Nothobranchius furzeri: one gene and its partners. The protein of the gene in region 1 purifies or fractionates together with the protein of each later gene. This does not show direct contact. Links are inferred from orthologs where the notes say so. Each region holds a gene or a part of one and is shown in the gene's direction. Other genes may lie near its edges.

Region 1 (4,432 bases):
CAGACACTGGCTCTGCTGCTGGGGGCTCTGATGCTCCACCTGCTGTGATCCCATCCCAGGGAGACCTCCTCGGTGACCTTCTCAATCTTGATCTGACGCCTCCTGCCACCACTGGGCCACCGCCGCCGCCCACCTCTGGCATGCAGCTGGGAGCCATGGACCTCCTCGGAGGAGGACTGGACAGCCTGGTGTGTTTTCTACACACATCAGTTTGATTAACTCTTCTACCTAAAGCAGCTTTTTAACCAAATAACTGTTATTTATTTTTAATTGACATTCTTTATTTTTTCTTGAACTTGCGTGTTCTTTCTTTGTTTAATATGCTGCTCCTGCAGATGGGGGAGGAGTCTGAGCCGGTAACTACAAGGAGGGATGATCTTTACCAGTCATTTAAGCCCATCCTCTAAATATTCATCTAAAAGAGCCCAGACAGTGCTTTTGTAACAGTGGAGTTATTTTGGGATTCTACTAGAATAGCATCAAGCAAAAGCAGCACGTTTGCCGTTCCCCCCCCCCCCCCCCTTGTCACCTCGTCTCTTAAAAGCTCTTTTTAACAGCCCGGTCTGCTCTAATTGGTCAGTCCACCCAGCCAAAGAGTGTTGTTGATGTAACAATTAAAAGTGGGTCAGAGCCGCCTACAAGCTGTGTACACTCAGAGAATGTTAACAGGGTGGGACGCTACTCTACTCTCGTCGCGTCACTGAAATCACCATGAAAACGGCAGCTGATGAGTCTGTTAGGACCATCTCACTATTTCAGTCCTCCTTTTCCTGTTCCAAGTCTTCTAGATACGATCAGGCGGGGAGGTGATGTGTAAAGGGTGCTATGGAGGTGTTTTGTTTATGCCCTCATATGTAACCCGTTACAAATAACAGTTGTCATTGTTTTTGGTCTTTTATGGTTATCTACTGATAGAACTCGCATAAATTAACATCTTTGAAATACATTTTCGTTATTGTCATTAAATGTTCCAGCTTTTTCCTAATGATCACCGTCTGGTGAAGGGTCAAAACTCCTGACTCTCTTGGGAGTTGTTTTATGTCTCGATGACAATTTTATTTCTGGCACAAATTTAAAAAGTCAGATTATTGGTCATTGGGCCTGAACAATCTTCGTTTTTCAATAGAAACTGCGATTCATTAATTTTTTTAAACGATGTGATCTTGTAATCGTCAAAACAGGTATTTATTTCATAAAAAATTTTTTTGCAGCGATCGTGACTGATCCTGACCTTTTATATAAATATTTTACACATCTAGGGTTATCTCAAGGTTTTAGAAGAGCTACAGCAACAGCAGCGAGCGGCTGTGGAGGTTACGGGACCCTGATGCTTGAGTTTGCAGCGGGATATAGTTTTATTTATTTTTAATTGGTAATTTTCTTTTTCTGTGGCACTTCTACTGTATATATTGGTCATAGCTGTGGTTATCTGTCGCCGTTGCTCATTTAGTGGCCGAGTCTCATTTGCCCGCTTCCTGCAACAGGGGAAAGGGAATTACCAAGAAACTATCTTTGTGGAGTTGAGGTAAATATGGTGTTAGCGCAGCGCTTTTTGTGCTTATTTGAGTAATAACTTTTCATGTGGTGATGGTGTGATGGCATTTCCTGTCATGTTTGTAAATATTACTGTACGTTGTGATTATTGCGTGGAAGTGAATCAATCTGATGAATTTTCACAAAATCATTCAGCCTTACTTGTCGTTACGTTGACGAACTCAAAGCGTCTGTTAAGTGGTGCCTATAAAAACGTGTTCTAAAGACCAGGAGAACGCAACTCCTACAGATTCTCGTAGAGTCTTGCACTCGCACAAGCCCGTGTGATACGATCAGCACAGCGTGGGCTCTTTATTCACTTACCCGTAGTTTCCATACACTATCATCTCATATTGTCGTGACATTTATCATGTTAAGTCTCACTCCATCTCTGTTGTCTTTGGATCGTTCATCTTCTGATCAGCTGCCCATTCCCCTGCGCTCGGACACTCGGTCACCTCAGGTTCCACATCAGTCCTCATCGTCCCCAGATTACAGCCCCACTGAGGTTGGTCCTGGAGGAGCACGCTGGACCAGTAAAGGCCAGCATCAGCCTAGAGCTCAACACCACTTGTCCCTCTGCTGTCCCATGTCCTCTCGGTAGCTTTGTGTTGCTCTGCTTGTTTTCCTGCTCCATCTAGTTAGGGTTCCAGTGTTCCGTCTCTCTTTAGGTTTGATCTTTGTTTTTAGTCTTTAAAACGCTAAAGACAAAGTTATCGAGCTGCATTTGAATGAAACCAATCACTTGGGTTTGTCTGCAGACATCTCCCTACTGTTATTTGTTACAGACCACCCCTCCTCTCATCCTCCTCCACCCCCTCAGAAGATCCTGTAGTTTTAACATCAACTTTTATTCATTTATGATGTTTTGTTCACAATGAGTTTTTCTTTTCCTTTCTCCTCGTGTTCAGCTTGGCGGAGACCTTGGAGGAAGCTCTGCTGTAAGTCGTTTTCTAGTTTTCTTAGGCCTTCATCGCTAATGCAATGCACCATTTCACGTGTTCTCTGTGACCCACAGATGGGAGCTGGTTTTGGTGCTGCTCCAGCCGCATCGCCAGCCTCGTTCAGCGCTCCTGTTAGCGGCGGCCTGGATGACCTGTTTGATCTTGGAGGTGGAGTTGGGATGCCCATGGGAGCCTACAACCCCCCCAAAACGGTGAGTCCATGTGCTGGAATGATTCCCTAAAGGAGTTCATCATGGGTGGCTTTTAAAACCAGCCTCTCTGTTTAGGTTTGGCTCCCAGCCATGAAGGGAAAGGGCCTGGAAATATCCGGCACTTTTGCCCGCCGGGCCGGAATCATCCAAATGGAGATGACCCTGATCAACAAAGCGATGAGCGTCATGACTGATTTTGCCATCCAGTTCAACAGAAACAGGTAGGAAGAGCTTTTATCTTACAGCTATTTTCATTTAAAGGGATACTTTGCAACTTGTTCATATTTTTAAATAATTTTCTTGAGCTAAAATGTGCTAAAATGACCCTTTAATGAAGTGTCACTCAGACCCCCACAGCCCTCTGGCCAGAATACCTCATTTGCAACTTTGGAGTGTCGGTCCGGTCTAGTGGACTTGGAAATGGAATAAAATGAGCTGACATATCTGGCACTACAGTCTGCTTCCAGCACGTTTCCTGCATGTTTTAGATCATGAGCACAGCTGATTTGTTTAATTTAGTGATGAATCACTCCTGTAGACACTAATGAGGGCTGGGAGACGTTTCAGCTGTTGGATTAAAGGGATATTATGGAAGTTTGACAGCCCAAACATGTATAGAAATAATACATTTCTTCTACATGCATTCTACTGCAATGCCCTGGTCCTGTAGAATGAGCCCTGGCATTTTTACTGTGATTGCCTGTTTTTCTGTAAGATCACAGAAAAAGAGAGATGCTCGGGTCGAGCAGGCTGCTTCATGCGCGTTCACGCTCAGGCATCGCCCGTAGCATTTGCTATCAGTAGCTTTAGCAGCAGAGAGTGAGGTAGTGCCACTTTGTCGCTGTTCCTAATGCCTAGTGACAAAGCTAGCTACATTTCTGAGGACGCTTAGCTACTTTCTGTAGAACTTTCTTCTAGATATTTCCTGCAAATTAGCAACAAAATAGCCATTTTCGTTTCGAACCGTTCTTTGGTTTGACGTTGTTTCAGGTGTCGTCAAGGATATAAAAGTTACAGAGAGTGTCAATGCTACTAGAGTGTAGCTCACCTTGTAAGATGTCTGACTCCCATGCAGAAGACCTGGGTCCGATTCTGGATGTGAACATAATTTATTTGGAGTTTCTTTTTTACATTAATGGTATATTTTTTTCCGTAAGATGCCCAAATTTTTATTTGAGACTCGCCGAACGGCATTGAATTCACAGATAAAAAAGATGTGGGTTCAACTTTCGTTTTGGAACAACTTTCCAAGCAAGGGAAGGGAATGATCTGAGCATGCAGGAGGACTGACCCATCATAAACCTTTGTCGGCTGTGCTGAAGAGAAAGGTACAGAACCAAATTATTTAAGCATGAAATTTTAGAGAGAAAGATCATAAATGTTAAGTGCTCGCCTCGCAATCGGAAGGTTGCAGGTTCGAGACCCGCTCAGTCTGTCGCTGTCGTTGTGTCCTTGGGCAAGACACTTAACCCACGTTGCCTGCTGGTGGTGGTCGGAGGGACCGGTGGCGCCAGTGCTCGGCAGCCTCGCCTCTGTCAGTGCGCCCCAGGGCAGCTGTGGCTACATTGTAGCTCATCCCCACCAGTGTGTGAATGTGTGTGTGAATGGGTGAATGACTGATTGTGTTGTAAAGCGCCTTGGGGGGTTCCAGGACTCTAGAAGGCGCTATATCAAATACAGGCCATTTACCATTTTACCATTTAATTAGCTGCGCGTTCTCCTGTCCCCCCCCCCCCCCCCCCC
Region 2 (4,528 bases), on another chromosome or scaffold:
CTAAAGTAGTTTCTAGATGAGAGGCTGCTTGATGTTGCACCCTGTGCACGCACGCATGTTAAAGCAGAATAACCTAAACTAGGTTACTGCATTAGAAAGATTTTACGCTGCTTTTTGAGTGAACGTGTGTATTGAGGTCCAGCGGCTTATTCTGTGTCTGCTGAAGCTCAGAGACGGGTTTTAACTAACTAGCTTTAGCCAAACTCTTCACGGGTGAAAGAAATATTTCACACCTTGTTTCGCAAAATCACCATATTTAAGGGAAGTTTTACCACAGAGGCCTTTTCCATTAAAAACTGCACCCAAGTGCACCTTTGCTGTAACTGCTTCTGAAACATCCCCCTAAAGCTGCAGAAGTTGTGAATTTGGGTTTGGATGATCGAGAAGACGGTGATGATTTTTTTTAATGACCCCACCTGCATGTTTCTGTCCGACCCTAACCCACACACACTGTGTGTTTGACTGGCTGACTGATGCTCGATTACAAACTGCCTCCGTCATCCCTCAAATCAGTGTTTTTTTCACCTTTTACTCATGCTGCTATTTATCGATTCATGCACCCCTCTCTCCATGCATCCATCTGCTCATCCGTTGATTTATGTCAGCCCCTGTCTGATCAGCGTTGTGTTGCTTGTATTGTCTCTTTGTTTTTAAATCTCTGTTTGAAGAAAAGTTTAATAAAGTGTTAAATCAAGGGCACCATCTCTGGCATCTCTAGTTTATTTACCAGACGTTGAGCATGCACCGCACATATTTTTCTAAAGCATGTTTTAGACAGATTATAAGATGCTTTTGAGCAGCTTTTATGATTCTGCAGCTCATTTTATGTCTGCATGGTGTTTAAAAGGGAGCTAAAGCAATCCATTATCTTGTTTTTAAGGGCTAACCCCCAAATAAAGTCATCACCAAACAGATCTGGTGTACAAACCGCTCTCCTTTTGTTCTGAACAGAAGTTACTGATAGAAATGACCTGCATGAGCACTCGGGTTCATTTTACGTCTCAGACGTCTCATCATGCATGCTTTGCACGTCGTCCACCCAAAACGTCTAGCTAGCTGTCAACATGGTCATGGCTTTCCTTTGCATGGCTTTACACACATTCAGTGAGTTTTGTAGCTTCTGTTTGTCCATGGGGAGAGCCTGCTGGTACTGTGCATGTTAACAGGATTACCCAGCTGAAGCCATGGGTTGCTGCCATCGTTCTGTGGCTTTGGATCCTTTAAACTGGTCCGACACCGATCACATGACTCACTGGAAATCCCAGCTTGACTGGGTGTCTCCATTTCAGTTCCTGCTTTTATTTTGATCACATGCTTTCTGTGAAACTGACAAAGTCGTTCACCTGAGGGACAAAAAATTGCCACTCTTGACATGAAAGTTTGTATTCAGTTCTTCAGCTGCAGCTGGTTGTGAGAGAATAAAATGAATAACTAAATGTGAACAACCAAGAGCCCAAACGTTGAGTTTGAAATCAGTGTGGGATGATTCAGAGGAAACAGCATCCAACGTGTGCTCTGTGTTTTATTTTTTTTCTGTTTCATGGAGCAGTATCCAACCGAGGAAGACATGATAGAGTGGGCAAAGCGCGAGAGCGAGCGAGAGGAAAAGGAGCGACTTGCAAGGCTCACCCAGCAGGAGCAAGAGGACCTGGAGCTCGCCATCGCTCTCAGCAAGTCAGAACTCTCCTGAGGAGGCTCTCCTCCTCGGCTCGGGGGGGTCTGGCACGGCACAGCCCGGCCCAACCCAGAGAGCACCAAAGCAAGGTGGAGACTGCACAGGACTGATGCAGCAGCACTAGCTGCTCCCCCTCCGCCTCCCCCTGACTGCTCACTGTTCACTGGCATTACGGAGCGCTGTTTTTCCATCCTGTTGGCCTCTGCAGGTTTGGCTGAAGGACAACATCCCAGTATGGAGGAGTAGATTGTTCCAGTCAGAGAAAATGAATCCTAAGGTTTTTAAAACATGACTGCAAATGTTACGTTCAGAATGTGATTTACTAAAACATGCAAGCGAGACAGAATTTCCCTAGAAAGAAAACTCACTACATTTTATTATTCACACCTCAGCTCTGAGGATTTAACCAGATTTTAGCTGGCATGCTGAGTTTATCGAACCCAGATGTGCCCAAACTTTCCTTCTGCTCATCTGTAACCATAGAAACAAGGGCACTTTCCTGCCTTCTGATGCTACATTTAAACATCATTATTAGAACGCACTTCATTTGAAATTCAGTGTTGCAGTGAAGAGCAGATGGGGATTTTCTTTCTCCCATCAGGGCAGCAAATCGGGATTTCTAAAACAAGTCCGACCATCACACTCCGCTTCTACGTTATTCAGTGTCTTTGAATTCTCAGTGCTAGCTTACCTCACCTAGCATTTGATCTACCATTGTTCAAGGTGTTGAAGAAATCTACACTCGTATTTTAAATGGCATTAAACACTTAAGATACACCACAACAGAAAAATCTAATTTGAAACAAAGTTTGGAGTTTTCTATTTGATTCCTCCAATGTTTTCAACATTTCAGTTAAATATCTGAAAAATTTTATAAATGCGGCAATTTAAAAAGTATAAATTCAAAATTTTCAGCCACGGTCTCTTGGGTTAGCCTCCCTAAAAGCAGATTTTTGCCTAAGATCCTTTCTATTTCTCTTATTTTAGCTCTAATATGAGAGATCATTCATTCTTATGTAACACTGCAATTGTCACTTTAGCACGTGACATTTGAAGCTGTGCCACAGTTGGTGCTTTTTATGTTGACGTTAGCTCTAGTGCTAACTTTATATGTCCTGAAGGATTTTTTTTTAAAACTAGACATTTCATATTTGGCAGAATTGATCAATTTCAGAGTCTTGTTGAAGTCCAGCGAACGATGTCTTGTGTTTTCTACCTGAGAGCAGAAAGCCCATCTTTCAAAGTGTCCCACTACCGTTTAAACATACACAGTAGCAGGTTAGATGGAGACGTTTCACTTCTCCCACGGGTGTTATTTAACTCTGATGCTAGGAGGTTTCTGATGAGGGAAAAGGCAGCTGAAGCCTTTGTTTTCATGTCACTTGTCTGACCAAACATAGCAGCATAAAGGATGGCACTTATGATTTTAGCTCATGTTTTTATCCACATGTCTTCCTTTCATGTTAAACCAACTTACTGTCTAGTTAATGCAGCACTTTCTACTAAATGCAGTGTCTTGTTGAAGTTTATTGTAAATTGGAGAGATTTGCATGTGTGTTCTCTGACTGGTGTTATGCCAGAGTTTTTCACTTTCAAATGCCACTATAACATTTGTACAGACAAACCCAGAACCACTTATGCTTGTGGGCTTACTCATTAAGTCTTCTTAAACTCAAGCTAAGTGTATTTTATTTTGTATTTTCTAACTTGTAAGTAAAATCATTATTGGGAGATTTTGCCAGACTATGTAATGCATTTAACGAAAACTAAATAAATACAGAAAAGAAATCATTGTTTGTTGTTTCTGTAGTGTTATTTTTATGCAGATGATGTATTAATATATTTATTTATCTTAAGTATACAATTTAATTCACATTGTGGACATTTGCAATGTTTGCTAATATCCTGGAAAGCATAGCAGCCACCTTTTAGCAGTATTTATACTAAATAAAAACAATCACATGAATATTTCAAGGCTTAAGTTTCTTGTTTGCATTTCTAATATTTTGACAATGTATACTTTACACAACAGAGTGAAGTAAAAAAGGCAGGTCAGATTTGGTTCACATGAAAAAAAAAAGTCCAAGATGATTCCAAGAAAAGTTCTGGATGTGAGTATTAATAAATACAATAAAGCTGGCATCCTTTCTCAATAATAAAAATAAATCTCCAGCTTCTTTAAGCTTTTCAAATTAGGTGTCCCTCAAGTAGATGAGGGTGGATAACTTTGTACTAATGTAAATGTGTGTGGATGTTGAAGATGAGGTGGTCTAGGGAGGTCAAGTAAAAGTTAATGAGAAGTGGTGGAAGTACGCAGCCTTGGGGCACTCCAAAACTGCTTTAAGAGGTGTTAACATAGGTGATTGTTATCAGACAGGTTTGATTTAGCCCAGGAGAGAGAGCTGTCCCATATATGAAGATTGTGAAACATGAAATGTGTCTAAAACTGCAGATTGATCCAGAACTATAGGAGAATGTGTTGAGCCTGTAGCAGGAAGCAGATTGTCGGTTATTCTAACAATGGCCGTTTTAGGACTGTTGTGAATCCAGACTGAGTTCATTAAGTTCATGATTCAAAAGGTGTTCTTTTTGTTTTTCTGTTGGTTCTTTGCTGTTTTCTGTAGATATCGGGGTAGAATGTTTTTATAAATAATTCAGTTGATACTTTGTAATGAACTATTTTTTAAATCAAAAACAATTCAGTGTGTTATTGAACAAATTTCTGCCTGACCACACAACATTCTCCTAATCCACCTCTGGATCATCCAGCTCATCTCTGGTCAGCCGTAGACGGGCCCGGACTTGTGCTCGTTAAACTGATAGGACCTGTTGAGTGCTGCAGGATTTTATTCC
Region 3 (5,120 bases), on another chromosome or scaffold:
TTAACAGCTGTTCATGCATGTGTACAGTAGATGATTAATTACAGAAGCATGTCATCGATCAGGCACCCCGCCACTCCTTCAATGCACTAGATTTTATTTATGGCTATCAGGTTGTTAGAAATGCATGCCATACTTAAGATATTTAGATTTTCTTCAAATTTTGAAAACAATGCATCAGTTGTATTCCACATCACAGTTCCATGCTACTTTGTGTTGGTCTATTTAAGAAAATGTCAATAAAAACATTCACAAGGTTGTAAGGTGTGAAAATCTGTAAAAATCAAGGGTATGTTATTTTACAAAGCACTGAATATATATGATAATAATCATATTGATGATGAAAAATACATTTTATTTATTTCATCACTTCTTTATATTACGTTATTTATTTGGTTATTTATTTGATTTATCTTTCATGATACTGATGCTGTAATTTTGCACAACAGTAATTGTGACTTTTATTCTTTGAAATTTTTAGCATCGTATGATTGTGTTTTGTGGATAACTTTATGGTTAAATTGAGCTCCACGAAAAGTTCAATAGGATTTTTAAATTGTAATGACTCTAAATAACCTGCAACAGAACAAGCTAAAGATCATTCTTGCTCATTCAAAAGTCAGGACCTTACTGAGTAAATTCATTTATTTGACATCATCATATTAAAATATGTTTTTTCCATCAGATCACATAACCATTAACCTGGGCCAATGACCCTGTTTTTAACAGATTTGTGTGAAATGTATGTGTGTATATTTGTTGGTGGCTCCGCCCTTTCAGTCTGCTAGGCAACAGCATTTGTAGCATTTTTCAAACTGGAAGTGGGAGTGGAGTAATACTCTGGTAGGGGGTGACTTGCTCTTTAATATGTCTGTGTCCTTTGTGCTGTATAGTTCTGGAAACACAATTTTCATTTTTATTCATTGTTTTTAGTGGATGAAGTATTCAATAACAGCTTATTGCGTTTGTGTGTTTACCTGTAATCTTGTTATTATTTGTTTTCTTCCTTTTTCTCCAAGTGTGTGCGCTGCTGTAGCAAGTGAATTTCCCCACTGTGCGATCAATAAAGTATATTCTAATCAAAGTGTTTTTGGATTGTTGTTGTTGTACATTGAAGTTGCGAGACTTTCTTTATGAAAATTCTCTTCGAATAGTTCTTATTATATGCAAAATTATCTTTACTATTATTTGTTTAGAGCCGAAATAGAGACATATTTTAAGTGAAACATTTTAACACAAACATTAGAAAAACAACCATGACACGTTTTTGAAGACTTTTGTTGTTTTGTAATACCACAGCCAGCCACTTGAGGGCGACGAAAGTCCAGCAGAGGTCGGTTTTACAATTGAAGAATCTGAAAAGAAAACCAATGTGCGAGCGTGTGTGTGTGTGTGAGAGAGAGAGAGAGAGAGAGAGAGAGAGAGAGAGAGAGAGAGAGAGAGAGAGAGAGAGAGAGAGAGAGAGAGAGAGAGAGAGAGAGAGAGAGAGAGAGAGAGACTCTGCCCCTCACAACTGTTAATTTTACTTTACTCATTAATAGGAAATTACTGTGGGCGCATCTATGTAGCTGCTTAACTCTAAAAAAAGTCTTCGCTTCCTTGTGTGTTTGGTTGTTTCTTGTTGTTTTTAAAATAACACATTTAGGTTTCTGGTGGAAGTGAAATTCAGCACCTCTGATACAAAAATGTTTTCTGGATTGACGTACAACGTAAGGAATAACGGAACCTTTCAACCAATCACATTGCAGAATCTTTGCTGTGTTGACCAATCCCTGCGCTTGTTCTCACACCCAGCATTCGCTAGGCAGTTTAGCATCGAGCAGAAGGAGGAACTAATCATCTGACAGATAGAAGTGTCTTTTGGCTCTCTATGGTAATATTTTTAACTTTACTGTACTGAAGTTCAGTTCGTGTAAGTCACTGTTTTGCAGACCAAATTAAAAGTCATGAGTATTCAGTCTCGTTTGCTGTAGCTAAGCAGGCGTCGCAGGAGGGGGTGCAAATGTCACGAAACGTGGTTTAGATGTTAAAATAGGACAATTAAGCGACCTTAGCTAACGTGAGATAATCTAACGTTATGTTAAAGCCTCACGGGTGTGTTATGTACTGAGTCTAAAAGTCGTTTGATCGAATGGTACCTCCATGTATCCTAGTAAACAGTTCAGTCAAATCTAATTTCACTGACTTTTTGCCTCACGTTCATTGCTGCGTGATTAGTTCAGTTTCCCGCATCCATATACCCTCAAACATCCAGTCTTCCTTTGTTCTTCGTATTTATTTGTATCTACATGTCGACCATCATTATTCCTTCCTCAGATGCAGTTCATGCTGTTGTTCAGCCGGCAGGGGAAGCTGCGGTTACAGAAATGGTATGTTCCTCTGTCTGACAAGGAGAGGAAGAAGATCTCGAGAGACCTGGTCCAGACCATTCTGGCCAGGAAGCCCAAGATGTGCAGCTTCTTGGAATGGAGAGACCTCAAGATTGTGTACAAAAGGTAAGTTAAAAGTTTTAGAGGGCATTCAAGTACCCTCACACTTGATGATGCATGCACACACTTCTGTTTTTCCTCAAATTGACCATAATCTGCTTAAAATATTCACTTACAGGCTTTTTCACATCAATTTAGTGAGACCTGCAAAAACAAAAACGTTTCTCTATGATTTTCACTACAGCTAATTTATATAAACATTAATGTGAGAATAAAGTCTTTTCAACTGGATGCTTATTGTTACTTGTTGCCATGTTAAAATATTTATAGATTTATTTTAAAAACTGCATCTTCATCAGCAAATTCAGAAATAGTCTAGAAAAAGTTGGCTAAAGTAGCTCATACATACCGTGTTTATGTAAATGGCACATTTAAAAACATCGTGACAGCTGACCAAAGTACTTCACAAAGGAACAAGGATGCTCCGTAGTTACAGGACAGACAACAATGTCTGACATTACGGCATCACATCTAGTTGATAGAAACACAGCAAGGTATAATATCTAAAACAATGCACCACATGAACAAGGAGGTTAAAAGAGGAGGGGCTTTGAAAAGCAAAAACACAATAATGAAGACACGTGAGCAGCAAAACATAATCCAATAAAACACACATACACGGCAGATGGTAAAAGATGAAAAACCTAATTACTGACCAAAAGATAAATGATAAAAGTGGGCCTTAAGAACAGACTTAAAACGGGCTATTAATGGGGCCTGCCATACATGTAACGAGTGAATTTAGAGTTTAGGATTGGCAAATTAGACTTGCTCCTAGGGGTGGGCAATATAAACGATATCAGGTAGAAATGATAAAAAATTGGCTAATGATAGTGTTTTTGGCTATATCGCAATACCGCGATATTGCGGAGGAGGAGGCCTATATGCCTCAAGTGGCATATATTTGTCACATGAGGATATTTAAAAGCATGTCAATTTGACATGTATTAACAGAGGGGAAAAAAATATTGCAATATATATCGTTACCGCACATGCTTCAGATTATATCGCAATATAGATTTGAGGCCATATCGCCCAGCCCTACTTGCTCCTGAGACTTGTAGTGCAATTTAGGGACACACAGGAGCAGGTGATCTGCAGACCTCAAAGATGTGGAGGAGACATAGGACAGGATCAGCTCTAAAGGGGGAGCTGTACCATTACAGCCATCACACACAAAAGTTAAAACATGTAACTGAACTCGGAAACAGATTGGAAGCCAGTGCTATTCAGGATGGGAGTCATGTGGCCGCATCTGGACATGTTTGTAAGGAATCCAGCTGCTTGATTTGTGCCATAGAGGATCATGTGAGAAACCGTTTTAGGATTTCATTTTATTAACAATTACAAACATGCATGTAAGTTGTGAAAATACAAATGCTGTCCCACCCTTTTTGCTATTATTGATCTTTGCATGTCTGCTCTCTTCATACATAAATAGATATGCCAGTCTGTACTTCTGTTGCGCCGTTGAGGATCAAGATAACGAGTTGATCACCCTGGAAATCATCCATAGATACGTGGAGCTTCTGGACAAATATTTTGGCAGCGTGAGTTTTGCAAATATTACACATTTGTAGTGCTGAGAAGCTGCAAAGATGGAATCTTCCCTGACCTTCTGTAGTTTTTTTATATGGTGCTTTTGTCCTATAGGTGTGTGAGCTTGATATTATCTTCAACTTTGAGAAGGCCTATTTTATCCTGGATGAGTTCTTGCTGGGCGGAGAGGCCCAGGAAACATCCAAAAAGAATGTGCTGAAGGCCATCGAGCAAGCCGACTTATTGCAGGAGGTACGATCATTTCCTAAACACCACATCACCGTGTGCCTGAAAGCTGTCTTCTTTGCAAGTTAAAGCTTGTGTTGACTTTGTGGCTAACGCTGATATTTTTATGTATAAAATGTGTGACAGGTGTCCTGATACTTTCTCTTTACTCTTACAGGAAGCAGAGGCCCCACGTAGTGTCTTAGAAGAAATTGGGTTGACATAAATCCCCCTGCTTCTCACACTGATCTGATCACATCCATGCCTCCATTGTGTCTTCTCCTCATTTACCGTGTCAGTGTTGTGTTTGTATAACCACCATGAGTGTACTGTATTATGTACTATCCTGTAATGTCCTTTCAGTGTGGTGCCAACTGTGGTGTTATTGTGTCTCCTCACTACGAGCTCCGTCACCGTCATCTGCAGCATTTAGCATCACTTCTCGCTCTGCAGAGCAATGTAGCATGAACATGACAAACCCAGCATGATATTAAGATCATTCATCATCACCGATGGTGGAGTTTGATGTTTTAAGTCCTGCTGGCACCACTCGTCTTTTCCCATCACAGGGATTTATGTTAGCGATGGCAGAATCTGTGGACAGAGCATCTCACCTCAGCTGGTCATGGTGATTTTCACTACAGCAGAAGAATGCAGTTTAGTTATTAAAACGCCAAATAGCGAACAGCAAAAAGTGGTTCAAATCTGTTTACACGGACTCTCAGGAGTCCTCGCTACATTAAATTGCATCAGTTGTTTCATAGATTCAAATATGAGGTTTTGTTCTGTTTGGATACTAGAAACACATTTCAGAAGTCTTCTTTATGCCTTTTTTATTTGTCTACATTTTCCTTTTTATGAGAGGTAGGT
Region 4 (4,878 bases), on another chromosome or scaffold:
AAATGTGCTATTTAAAAAAAAAAACGTGGTATGGTCTTTCAGATTATTAATTTCTTTTTAAAAGAGTACCTCATATCACTGAAGGGTCTGAAATCCAGCAAAGGTGGAAGGGTCAGCATGACAAAAGATGGTTTAATCTAATTAGACCCATAAACCAGAACCAATCAGACATTCTTTTATGTATGCTAATAATTCAGTATTCATGGAAGTCCCATGATTTTATTGGTTATTTAAAAAGGAGTCTGTTTCAGTGTATAAATGATCGCCCACACACTGGCTGGTGTAAAATCCCCTGCTTCTGGTAGTAAGTTGATGAAGAGCCCCACTCTGTGGTCATATCTCTTCACTGTTTTCATGGGACTTTGTTTTTTCTCCCAGGTGGGAGTTTTAAGACATCGGTCGACGGTTCTCAGTAAGGACAGTTTAGATAGGGGGAACAGGATTACAGGTACAGAAAACACACCGCAGGAAAATTCATGAACACTATAAATTCATGTCAGTGAATGTGAATGGTCAAAGCAGTCCTATAAAAAAGTAAGATGATAGCTTTTTTTTGTTCAATTTGTTTTTTCAACATTTAGCTCAGATTTTCTAACAAGAAGAGCTGAAAAGTATAACCACAAATGGCACAAAACCAGCCTATACGTACGCCAATGACATATTGGTAAAACTCCCAAATCCAGGCTCTAGCATACCTTTGTTCATGCCCTCAGAGAGGAAGGAGGTATCACACCCGTTTTATTTAATTTTATTCACACCCAAAATGTAATCATCCAGTATTTGTGAGTTCTCATACCAAAGTCCTCTCCCACCGTTTTGATAATAAGTAGCTACAAAAGAATCACAAAGGAAATCATCAGGACAATGTGGTACAGCCAGAGGTGGAAAGAGTACTAAAATTTCCTACACAAGTATGAGTACCAATACTTTGATTATTTTTACTCAAGTACAAGTAAAAGTATTTAAACATTAGACAATAATTTTATAAGCAATAAACAGTAAAAAGGAGAAAAAAGAAACACAAATGAAGGAAAAAAGTCTTAGCCCAAAGGGAGTGGGAAGAAGCGAGTGTTTACTCAGTCCCACCCCCTCGCCACACACTAAAACAAACCATGTACATATTTAATACACATTTCAGGATCGTTACATAAATGATCCGCACTTATATAGCGCCCCTCAGAGTAAGGACTCCAAAGCGCTTTACACTACAGTGAATCAATCATTCATCCATTCACACACACACACACACATTCATACACTGGTGGGGATGAGCTACGATGTAGCCACAGCTGCCCTGGGGCGCACTGACAGAGGCGACATACATATCATTACAATAATAAATATACAAATAAGAACATATATGAATGTTTTCTCTCACTGTGTGTGTGTGTGTGTGTGTGTGTGTGTGTGTGTGTGTGTGTGTGTGTGTGTGTGTGTGTGTGTGTGTGTGTGTGTTTCGTGCATGCAATTTCTTTCAGCTTTTTTGTACTGTTATATACCCTCCTCTATGATAATTCATTTGTTTGACAATAAAAGAGGCCTCGAATGTGTAATAGTGCAAAAAGCGGAGTCTGAAGTGCGCATGCTCAGTGGAGGCGGAAGTGCTCGGTACGGTGGTACCTCTCGTTCGGCTGTGTCCTGTTAGACACGGAGATGGACTTTTATCGTTAATTATCGTCTGAGCTACTAACTTCAGGCTGCACAGGGTGTCTGTGACGTTGGGGGCACGTTCAGAATGGTGAGTTGATGCGTCTCAATCGGTGGAAAGTGCCGGGTGCTAACTTGTGCTAATGCCGATAAGGTGTCAGCAATTCAGGAAGTGCCCACCTGCGCTCCGCTCACCTGGCGAACGGGCCTGGAGAGGGGAGACGACCCGGATCATGGTGCCGTTCTTACTGTGGGCTAAGTCGCTGTTGCTTGGTTGAGGTGTTTTAAGACCCGCTCCCTTCCTCAGCTTCAGTTCCAGGATTCGATTCAGCTCAATGCGTTTATTTAGTTACACGACACCAGCACACAAGATCCAACCCGTTCCCGTTCATGTTCGGGTCGATGGCACTTCCAGTCAGTGAGTTCCGTTCACTTCTCGCTAAAGCCGATTCATTCTAAAAGGCCGAATGTTCTCGGATGGAGTATTCATTCTTCACTTAAGCCGTTTGGGTTTTCAGACCCATCTTGCCAAAACTGACATAGAATAGAAAAATAAAAGGCGGGAATAAATTATAAATAAATGACAAAATGCAGAAAAAATAGCTATTTTAAATAGTTGGTAAGAAATATGTTTATTTCCACATTTATGTATCGGTCCTTGTCAGGTGACATATGGGGTGCTGTAGCGCGTTGCATGATGGAATAGCTAGGTGTCTGAACAAAGGAAGCTTTGTGAGCTAAACCCGGTACACCTGTTGTGTGAAAGGCGGCCATGCCACCTTCACAAGAAGGCAAAAAATAAAATGTAGGCTGGAGTCGTGTTAACTGGATATTTTCTGTATTTAACCGTTCAGTTTTTGACAGAAATCTCAAGGCTGTTGGTCATTCTGACAGACAGGAATTACTCTGACGCGTGCAGTTGTGCAGACATTTTAAACGTTCTGCACGGAGAACATCGCAGAGGTAACGAGATCCATCAGACGATTCCCATCAGAACATCTGAGCATTATTTGTCAGCTGCAGCTTACCCTAGCAATGCCAGTCATACACCTAAAATGGCGCTAAAGAGGTGTGGTTGACATGCAGGTCACGTGTCTGACAAGGACCGATTAATGCATTCAGTTATAAATACTGTCCTAAAGCATGATTGGTCAACCAATCATCTTCCAAGAAATTCACACAACCCTCCATTCTCTGCCCTCTGAACGATGTGTTGTTAGTGCTCTTTAATGCGGACTTATTAGGGATGCATGTTTACCAACATTTCTTTAAAAGGCTATTGATGCCCCTTAATGGTTAATAGCCGGTTAACTAGAAACCAACCAATGGTGGTGCTGATTACTGGTGGAACACCGGTGTTTCGACTCTCTGTGCTGCTCGTCGAAATGTGCTACTTTGGGGAAATACGCATGAGCAGATGGATTACTTCATCACAGGTTTACCTGAAACGCGCTACTATGACTGGGCGATATGGCCTAAAATCAACATTGTTATGTGCCCGTCCCATTTATCGGTTCCTTTAAAACCCAGTTCCGTTAGAACTTATGAGACGGAGCATCCATCAGGGTTCGATGGGGATGTCGGTGAGTATTATGGTATTAGATCCTGGTTTGGGCGTCCTAAGTTAGAATCATATCTTTTATTTTAAAGGTGAAATAATATGTAAGACCTTTCCTTCTGTAGTAGCTCACTTCTTTTTAAGCAATCCCGTTATCTTAAGGTTTCTTTATATCAATCTGTCACAAACCGTAAAGTAAGTCCTGATAATTCCAGAACCCATAATTAATGTGCTTACCTCTGTGCAATTAATGATCAGGGCTTCCACTCATGAAGCTTTAGAGAAAACCTGAAAGAATCAGGATTATGTTTCTTTTTCAAAAAAGGTTTATTACAAAATCAAAATACAAAAATGGGTAAATAAAAAACAACTGCTATCCCCCAAGGAGGAATTAGTTCAAAATGATTAAAAAAGAGTTAGTTTACACTAGCTCCTGTCTTCTCAGAATGAAAACTCCCAAGTTACCTCTTCCAAAAAAGTCTGTCATCCCCCATCCAGGTTTGGACGGGGGATGACCCCTCCAAATCTGCTCTGTCTCTTCTTGTCCTCTGCCCCAGCTGCTGTCCGCTCTCAATCTATATATCTCTGCTGTTCAGAGCTGTTCTTATATACCCTTCCTGGGCCAGCTTTAGGTCATGGGGTCATTTACCAGATACACACTTTGTAGCTCAACACAAAACATTTGGTGTCATTACATGCAGCATTCTTCTTAACACAGGTCATTACATCATCTTTTGCAGCATTCTTCAGTTTCTCTCCAATGTTCCCGAGAGGGCTTCTGGATCTGATGGGCTTGTCTTCACTCTGTTCTCCTCCAATCCCATCTTTCCAAGCCAGGGGTGGGGCAAAGAGGTTGGGTCAGTCAACCTGACCTTTCGCCCAGTTCTGTCCTCGTCCCTGTGACCCTTGTGTGACCCTTGTTTCTGACCACAGTTTTTTGACCTGCAGCCCAACTCATGTCGGCTGGCTGATTTTGCTCGCACAAGCCAGTCCAGTGTGTTTCAGCTTGCCACTGTCTTTGGCATGTGGGGACTCGCAACATCCCCCATGCGAGAAAAATCTAGCCAGGGGACTGCAGCAGCCTTCTTTGAGGTGGGGCTGCCTCCTCCTCTGGATCATCTTCATCTCCAGTCTCAGAGCCAGAGTCTGACTAGCTCAGAGTCCAGATACACACCATCATCATCATCATCATCACTCACTTCAGTCTCAGAAGAACCAGAGGGTTCAGATCTGGGTTCCTGCTTCACCACCAGTTTCAGCTGCCATCTGGTCAGCTGAGCTGCTGGTTGGAACATCTCAGTCTCCACCTTCAAGCAGAGACTCTCTCCCTCCAGACTGAAGACATTTTTTACTGCAGAGCTTCAAATATTCTCCTCACACACCTGAACAGCAACAAGCTAACTCTGCTTGCAGCTGCTGGTGGGAAGCTTACGCTAAAAACTATAAAGTGTGGCAAGGTGGACAAATGAGGGCCCGGGCGGGATTCGATCCCGGGACCTTCGGGGTGTGAGTCATACGCTCTAACCACTCAGCCAAAGGGACATCCCCTTATCCAACTGGCCAGGGCGCATGATCAATCAAGACATTGTGACAGAACGCTCACACTGTCACACCTTCCCCCCTCTTTCCACAAGCGCGTCCTCGTACTCCCGCGCAGGGTGCCACAAACTTCA

Evidence for each region.
Region 2: the proteins of ap1b1 (region 1) and eps15 purify together in Homo sapiens (affinity purification with mass spectrometry; 3 studies listed by BioGRID and IntAct, with this or other methods). This does not show direct contact. The link is inferred for Nothobranchius furzeri from reciprocal best matches to the Homo sapiens genes AP1B1 and EPS15.
Region 3: the proteins of ap1b1 (region 1) and AP-1 complex subunit sigma-2 purify together in Homo sapiens (affinity purification with mass spectrometry; 5 studies listed by BioGRID and IntAct, counting the BioPlex papers as one, with this or other methods). This does not show direct contact. The link is inferred for Nothobranchius furzeri from reciprocal best matches to the Homo sapiens genes AP1B1 and AP1S2.
Region 4: the proteins of ap1b1 (region 1) and ap1s1 fractionate together in Homo sapiens (co-fractionation; 6 studies listed by BioGRID and IntAct, with this or other methods). This does not show direct contact. The link is inferred for Nothobranchius furzeri from reciprocal best matches to the Homo sapiens genes AP1B1 and AP1S1.

The regions. Positions count from the first base shown.
Region 1 is NC_091757.1:46,121,497-46,125,928, forward strand, and holds part of ap1b1 (AP-1 complex subunit beta-1), read left to right. Parts: coding exon 1-188; intron 189-335; coding exon 336-356; intron 357-2,444; coding exon 2,445-2,474; intron 2,475-2,551; coding exon 2,552-2,689; intron 2,690-2,764; coding exon 2,765-2,910; intron 2,911-4,432. UniProt on the Homo sapiens protein: Subunit of clathrin-associated adaptor protein complex 1 that plays a role in protein sorting in the late-Golgi/trans-Golgi network (TGN) and/or endosomes.
Region 2 is NC_091748.1:56,869,421-56,873,948, reverse strand, and holds the end of eps15 (epidermal growth factor receptor substrate 15), read left to right. Parts: exon of another isoform or gene 1-702; intron 703-1,549; coding exon 1,550-1,690; coding exon of another isoform or gene 1,691-1,785; 3' UTR 1,786-3,466; downstream 3,467-4,528. UniProt on the Homo sapiens protein: Involved in cell growth regulation. May be involved in the regulation of mitogenic signals and control of cell proliferation. Involved in the internalization of ligand-inducible receptors of the receptor tyrosine kinase (RTK) type, in particular EGFR.
Region 3 is NC_091749.1:41,411,683-41,416,802, forward strand, and holds AP-1 complex subunit sigma-2, read left to right. Parts: upstream 1-1,760; 5' UTR 1,761-1,867; coding exon 1,868-1,870; intron 1,871-2,313; coding exon 2,314-2,492; intron 2,493-3,927; coding exon 3,928-4,036; intron 4,037-4,139; coding exon 4,140-4,277; intron 4,278-4,428; coding exon 4,429-4,476; 3' UTR 4,477-4,944; downstream 4,945-5,120. UniProt on the Homo sapiens protein: Subunit of clathrin-associated adaptor protein complex 1 that plays a role in protein sorting in the late-Golgi/trans-Golgi network (TGN) and/or endosomes.
Region 4 is NC_091743.1:88,615,388-88,620,265, forward strand, and holds the start of ap1s1 (AP-1 complex subunit sigma-1A), read left to right. Parts: upstream 1-1,588; 5' UTR 1,589-1,735; coding exon 1,736-1,738; intron 1,739-4,878. UniProt on the Homo sapiens protein: Subunit of clathrin-associated adaptor protein complex 1 that plays a role in protein sorting in the late-Golgi/trans-Golgi network (TGN) and/or endosomes.